2 linked regions of the Tribolium castaneum genome follow. The protein of the gene in region 2 interacts with the protein of the main gene of each other region in a pairwise test. Links are inferred from orthologs where the notes say so. Each region holds a gene or a part of one and is shown on either strand. Other genes may lie near its edges. The genes, in order: Rab35 and CenB1A.

Region 1 (2,910 bases), on a different chromosome or scaffold from region 2:
ATCTGTTTTTATTTTTGTTCTATGACTTGTAGTTTTGGAGATAAGGTGCGAAATATTTTGTCGTGTTGTAATTTTTCAGTTCACGAAAAACTTCGAGCTGATCAACTACTCGTCCCACGGTACATTTGTGAACAACGTGCTGTTTTCAAACGACACCAATACCGAACGCCCCAAACAGTGTGAAGGAAAAATCGTTCCGTTGGAAGTCCAAGTGCGTGAAATCATTGATAGAAGACGAAAAGTAGTCCGCCAACGAAAAAACTCGTTTGAAGCGAAAATGACAGCAATAGATAACATGGATACGATGGAATGTTGTTGTACAAATGTTGGTGAATCATCATCACGTATAGGATGGGAAGGATCGGCAATTTTAAACCACGGAAGTCTTTTAAGGTTCGGATGTGTCTCGTTCGTATTTTCGATCGTCGATTGTGCGGCATAAAAAACTCACTCACAACAAAGATACATTTTTACTTGATGATTTGAATACAACATACATGATACAAACATACGATCTGTACAAAAATATGAAATAAATGCAGAATTGTGGATGTTTTTTAAAAGAGAGCGCAACAAGTAAGGACTGGAAGTAAAACGGCTATAAAATAAATACAATTCTTGTTTATATTATACATTATATACAGGGTATTCAGCCGGAGTGTGGCTTTAAGGAAGCACCTTAGGAACGAACAACATGCCTTGAACACCCTCTGCCAACTAACAGCACTTTTTCTTCCCCTGTTTGTTGCTCTTCCTCAGGTTCACCGTCTCGTTCTGCGTGATGTTCTGCCGCTCTTTCATCTCCTGCTTCGACCGGAGCACCAGTCTCGTAATCGCCATGAACATCTCCTCCACATTCACATTGTCTTTGGCTGAGGTTTCAAACAGTTGAATGTTCATCGTGTCGGCGAAACGTTGCGCATCTTCAGTCAACACCACCTTCCTGTCCGGCGTATCGTTCTTATTACCCACTAAAACTCTATTAACTACATCACAATTTTGCTCGATTTCATGCAGCCATCTCTTGACGTTAGCGAACGACTCCCCGTTCGTAACGTCGTACACCACGATCACGCCATGCGTGCCCCTGTAGTAGGTGCTCGTGATCGTGCGAAAGCGCTCCTGTCCCGCCGTATCCCAGATCTGGAGCTTCACCTTCTGCCCGTCCAGACTCACAGTCTTGATCTTGAAATCCACACCGATCGTCGTTATGTAACTGCCCGAAAACGTGTTATCGGCGAAGCGCAACAACAACGAACTCTTGCCCACGCCTAAAACGGCCAGTTTTCCCTAATTAAGAGGAAAACAGCCACAACCCCGCCCACACTTACCACTATCGCCGATTATCAACAGCTTGAATAAATGGTCGTAATCGCGGGCCATTTTCGCCGATTCTGCTACAACACCGCCTCAACTAGGCTTCGATAGCATTAATTTCGCTTTATTTGACACGGAAATCATTAAAAACACCGAATTCTAATGGGATGAGTTGTGACAGGTGACGTTCGCTTTCCCCCAAACGCGCACCAATCGCACCACAAAAAAACACCAAACCGTCACTTTATTATCACTATTAATTGATCACAGTGCCAGCCAAACGGCGGCACTGAGCCCTTATCCAAGATTATGTACGAAAATCCGCCCTAATAATTAACAAAACCCTAATAAACCCAGCAATTTGGTGATTAAATTTTGGGTTGGCGGCGCTGTCGCCAAATTCAAAAATGTCAAAATTCGCCTAACCTAAAACCTGCCCGAAAATGCGGCTTTTGCGGCCTTTCCGCGCCTTGAAAGCCTTCCGGCGCCAGTTATCGACCATCGAGCCGGTGAAACTGGCGTACGCCTCTTACGAGAGCACGAATTCGCCCAGTGACCACGACCCGGCCCCCTTGATAGTCAACCATGGCCTGTTCGGCTCCAAGTCGAATTGGAACAGTTTGTGCAAAGTGTACCACAATAAGACCAACCGCAAGGTCATCGCAGTCGATGCGCGCAACCACGGCGACAGCCCCCATACGCAACAGCACACCTACGAGCACCTAGCGCTCGATTTGCGCGAGCTTTTGACGCAGCTCAAGTTCGAAAAGGCGGCCTTTTTGGGGCACTCGATGGGCGGCCGTGCTGTGATGTATTTGGCTTTGAAATACGTATGTTGTGGGTTTGTTTCGGGTGCTTAAAGGCTTGTAGCCTGAACTTGTAGATAAATTAATCGTGGCGGACATTTCCCCAGTCACCACGAGCCCCAATTTGAAGACAATGCCGGGCCTTTTTAACGTTATGCAAAATTTAAACATGCCCAAAAATGTGTCAATGTCAGTGGCGAGGTCGCAGACTGATTTACAATTGGCTAGGTTTATTGGTGATAAGGGGTTGAGGAATTTTCTGTTGACGAATTTGGTGCAGAAATTGGACGGCAGGTGAGGCAAGCAATAAATTCACAGCCAAAAAATGTGTTTTAGTTACATGTGGAGAATAAATATACCGACTTTAATGGCCAGTTTTGAAGAAATTGCCACTTTTCCCCCCATTAATAAATACAAATTTGAGGGGCCTGTCCTATTTGTAGGGGGCGGAGCGTCTGATTATATACAGTGAGTATGGTTTTGAAATTCGGTTGGCAACGCGTCAATGTTGCCAACTTGATTGTTTTGGCAGGAAAAGTGACCACGAACAGATACTGAAGTTATTCCCCAAGGCCCAGTTTCAGTACATAGAAGGAGCAGGTCATTGGTTACACAGTGAAAAACCGTCGGAGTTCCTCCAACACACAGTCGACTTTTTAAATAAATAAATAAATAAATGGACCGAACTTAATCAGTCAATGGTATATTTTATAAATAAATGCACAATTTAGAACACATTTAAATTTATCACATTCCTAATGAAACAAGTGTTTAAACCCCTAGAAAT
Region 2 (4,432 bases):
ACCCCATAAAAATTCTTTTGGCGGTACCATATTTTTTTAGAAAATGTGATTTTTATATAATTTAGCCATTTGCAATATACAGGTGAAAAATGTACAATTTTTTTATCTTCTTAAATGCATATTGCATACACATTGCATACCTAGGAGTTTGATAAATAAATTTTTCTAATAATAATTGAACTCGTTATTTTGACCTTTTCCCGGCGCATCCACCAAAAGTTGCTTAGCATTTTCCGAACTTCGCCACATTGTCAATGTCACTGCTATGTCCATTTGACCTGATATGAGTGTATTGGTGCGGTTTCCCGAAAATTTACATGAGAAAAGCCCTAACTAGAAAATTTTCCGGGTCAAAGCTTGGGTACTGGCGCCCCAGCGCGAAATTTGCGAACCTTGTGCAATGAAAATATTTTTCAGACGCGTTTTCCATCGTCAGAAATCCGGTGATGTTTCGAAAGAAGGCCAGATGAGTCCTGACTCTTTTAAAGAAATCGAGTCTTTAAAGGAGGAAATCGATAGTTTGAAAACTGCACTAAATACACTCAAAATTGACTTGGAAAATAGGGACGGCAAGCTGGGGAAACTAGCAAGGGAAAAGGAAAAACTGTCGCTGAGTCTCGCTAAAATGAAACGCTCGAACGACAACCTCGCGCGCCAGCTCGAAGACGAGCGAGATTTCTACTACAAGGAGAAGGAAACCTACTGCCACGAAATGAACGAGTTCAAAAAGCTCAAAAAGGCGCTAAGTAACTCGACCCTGGGCGAGCCACCCGACCACAAAGAAGTGGAAAAGCTGCGAAAGACGCTCGAGCAAACGCTCCAAACCAACTATAATCTAAGTGTTAAATTCCTACGCATGAAGGAGACCAAAAACCAGCTCGCGATCTTGCTCCAGAAAGCGGAAGACAACCACCGACGGGTACTAGCTCCCAGTTAATTCCTCTTGATTAAACATTGCCACAGGTAGTCAGCGACCTTAAAACCAAAATCGAGACCCTCACCGCCGAACTGAAACAAATCCTCGACATGAAATTCGCAGCCCCGTTGTCCCCAAGCAACAAAAAGTACCTACAAGTCAGTCGAACTAGCCCATTTTTGAGCGAGCTAACCCGTCATTTGCAGCTCGTGAACCAGAACAGCTCGCTGGTTTACGAAAACTTGCACCTGCAGATGCAGGTCGATCATTTGAGCGTGAAACGGCGGCATAAAAGCGAGGGCACGATCGTGAAAATTTACGAAAGGGAGAAGCGCTCCGATATTCCAACTGTGACAATTTTAAACGAGAAGGAAATCGGTCTGAGGTCCGAACGCAAGATCCAGCTCCCGGTCATCAACGACTCCAAACTTGAGGTCTTCCAAGTCTCGGACTTGGACAGTGCGGAGTCGGTGAAAGTCAAGAAGCGGAGCCGCTCAGCACCGAGAGTCATCCAAAGTGTTAATAAATAGTACAAAGAGCGTGGCATTTTGAATTTCCCCTCCACTTTTGTCCCGACTGGCAACCCAAACGCGAAACTCCCTAGACTCCAGACGCGCTTAAACACCGCAAGGGTGTGCTTTCGTTAACGTTTTACCCTAATTATAGTCCGATAAACCAAGCTAAAGATGGTTTGCTCGTGATAACAACGAATTAAGCTTTGAAACGCGTAAAATCGCTGCTGGTTCGCGGGGTCACGTTGGCAGCCCGCGCTTTTGACGTTTGACGTCCACAATAATAAAGAAAGTGGGTTGTCTGAGAGTTGATGACTCAAAATAAGTGTTATGACCGCTTAATTAGTTAGTTTGTGGCCATGGTGGGTAAAATCGACCCGGAAGAGTGCCTGCGTGATTCCCCCAAGTTCAGGTTTGTGGTGTCCCCAAACCGCCAAACACCAATTATCGCTTGCAGGAGTCTTCTGGAGGAGGAGGAGGCCAGTGTTGATCAGCTGGAACAGAAGCTGGAGAAGATCCTGAAAGTATGTGGGACGATGGTCGATTCGGGCAAAACATATGTGGCCCAACAAAGGTTTGAGTTAATTGGTGAATCATGCCGTTTAATTACACACTTCTCAGTTTGTTTGCGAACAGTTTGTGGGAGTTGAGCGCGCATTTTCGTGAGGATTCCGCTGTTCTGGCCTCGCTTAATAAGTTGATTCAGAGCTTGCAAGAAATGAACAAGTTCCATACTATCCTTCTGGACCAAGCCTCAAGAACCATACTTAAGAATCTCACGTCGTTTATCAAAAAGTTAGTAGTGCTGGGTCCGGATTTTGGGTTGGCAACACTGAATTTAATTAGTTTTTGGGGTTTGCAATGCCTTTTTCTGGGCGTTTTTTATCCAGTTTCAAGGATTTAAATTAATGATTTTTTTCTTATCACGTTTATAAACTTTATATGCGTTTTTTCGGTGCATTTTTGTATGTTTTTTTGACAAAAACTTTATTATTTTGGAGAGTTTCGTCACAAGTGAGTCAAAAGATAGATAAATTTGGTCGAAAATGGTACTATTTTTACTTTTTTCAAGTACCTAAGCATATTTTTGAACCTTAAACTCATCTAGACTAAATTCTGTAAAAATTTCGTATATTTCTGCTTTTTTCGAGCGTTTTAGTATTTGTCATAGTCAATTGTGTGGAATTTTTTTTCACAAATATACTGAAAAATTATTAAATGAAGTCGAAAAATACGTGTTACTTCGAGGAATTTGGAAAAAATAAACTGAGTTTTTTTTTTAATTAGATTCATTTTCACGAGCGGAAATATATTACTAATTCTTTTATCTTTGTTATTTTTGTGAACTTTAGCACATTTTTCAATAAAAATCGCAATTATTTTGAGAATTTGCGTCAAAATAATGCCGTAATAGGTCGAAAATGTTTTTTTCAATGTAAAAAACAATTAAACAGTAATTGGTTGCTTTTAAATGTCATGTAATTGTCTTTTTCTATGGTTGAAAATGATATTATTTGTGTCTTTTTGGAGTGTTTTAAAATATTTTACGGATTAAAAAAATACGAAAAATTACCGAATAAGTTTGAAAACATGATACTTTTGTCTTTTCCAAGCTAAAAACGTCGGTTTTTGAGCAAAATGCTTCGCTAGAACTGGAACAAAAATTAATTCAAAAAGACATTTTTTTCAAGATCTCTTACCATTTTTTTTAATTGCGAAATTTTGACAGTCAGTTCCTTTCCGAGATTTTGCTAAAATTTCTATCAAAGAAATGAACAAAAAATCAACAATAATTTGTTTAATTTGTTATTTTTATTTTATTTCTTCACAGAGTTATATTTATTGCTTAATTTAGCCGTTTGAGGTAAAAACAGGCGCAAAACTTGAATAATTGTAAAAACCTAAAATCCGGACTTGATAAGAGCGTCGTAAAGTAACAATCGTTTTCAGTGACATAAAAACCGTTCGCGATTATAAGCAACACTTTGAGAAAATCTCTTCCGAATTTGACAACGTTTTAGTGCGCAATTCGCAAACTCCCAGAAGCAAACAGCAGGAAGTTGAGGAAATGCAGAATGTTTTATTGGCGGTACGGTCCTGTTTCGGGCACCAGGCCCTCGATTACGTCAACAGTATTAGTTTGCTTCAGACGAAAAAACGGCACGAGATTTTGAGCACGGTATTAATTACATGGTCAATTTTTTCTTTAGTAATTAATTTTTTTGATTAGTTGTTATCATATATGCACGCCTGTACGGCTTATTACCACCAAGGTTCCGATCTGTGTGCCGACTTGGAGCCGTTTTTCAAAGAATTGGCCGATGAGGTTTTTTCTAAAAATGTCCCTTCTTGTATTAATTTAGCCGCTTTAGATCGCCGATATGCGCGAGGAAACCACAACCGTTGAAAAAGAATTAGAGAACAGACACGCTTCTGTTAATAATATTGAAATAATTACACCGAAAATCGGGAAAAATTTGCCTAGGATGGAAGGTTATTTGTTTAAAAGGACCTCGAATGCTTTCAAGACTTGGAACCGGCGTTGGTTTTACCTCTATGACAATAAATTAGTTTATAGGTACTAATTTTTATTTATTTTTTTGGCGATTTTTGGGTTTGACAATTTTTAGGAAACGATCTGGTGAAGAGGCTGAGACTGTGATGGAGGACGATTTGCGTCTTTGTACCGTTAAACCGGTCCTAGATGGGGAGAGGCGGTTTTGTTTTGAGGTTTTGTCACCGTCTAAGTAATTGTTTTTTTGTGTTTTTTTTTCCAAATTAATATTTTTCCTAGGAGTCATATGCTCCAAGCCGACTCTAAGGAAATGTACGAAGCTTGGATTGCTGCGCTTCAAAAGGGCATAGGTGCAGCTTTTCAACGCATACATAGTATTGAATGTAGTAATAATGCCAGTGGGCAATCGAATCATTCTAACGACGAACAAAGCGGACATTCCGTCGCCAATTACAATAATAATAAAATTAAGAAAATAAGGTAGGTTGA

What was found.
Region 1: the proteins of CenB1A (region 2) and Rab35 interact in a two-hybrid assay, tested with the Caenorhabditis elegans proteins (2 studies listed by BioGRID). The link is inferred for Tribolium castaneum from reciprocal best matches to the Caenorhabditis elegans genes cnt-1 and rab-35.

Annotation. Positions count from the first base shown.
Region 1 is NC_087401.1:17,021,495-17,024,404, forward strand, and holds Rab35 (ras-related protein Rab-35), read right to left. Parts: upstream 1,517-2,910; 5' UTR 1,384-1,516; coding exon 1,332-1,383; intron 1,272-1,331; coding exon 718-1,271; 3' UTR 604-717; downstream 1-603. Other genes in the region: PHD finger protein 12, read left to right, coding at 80-442; sn-1-specific diacylglycerol lipase ABHD11, read left to right, coding at 1,761-2,147, 2,188-2,417, 2,460-2,591, 2,656-2,791.
Region 2 is NC_087395.1:24,776,626-24,781,057, forward strand, and holds the start of CenB1A (arf-GAP with coiled-coil, ANK repeat and PH domain-containing protein 2), read left to right. Parts: upstream 1-1,532; 5' UTR 1,533-1,787; coding exon 1,788-1,840; intron 1,841-1,885; coding exon 1,886-2,002; intron 2,003-2,049; coding exon 2,050-2,223; intron 2,224-3,378; coding exon 3,379-3,607; intron 3,608-3,658; coding exon 3,659-3,754; intron 3,755-3,800; coding exon 3,801-4,006; intron 4,007-4,058; coding exon 4,059-4,175; intron 4,176-4,222; coding exon 4,223-4,423; intron 4,424-4,432. Other genes in the region: coiled-coil domain-containing protein 39, read left to right, coding at 467-919, 964-1,074, 1,123-1,446. UniProt on the Caenorhabditis elegans protein: GTPase-activating protein for the ADP ribosylation factor family. Regulates endosome recycling downstream of rab-10 and upstream of arf-6.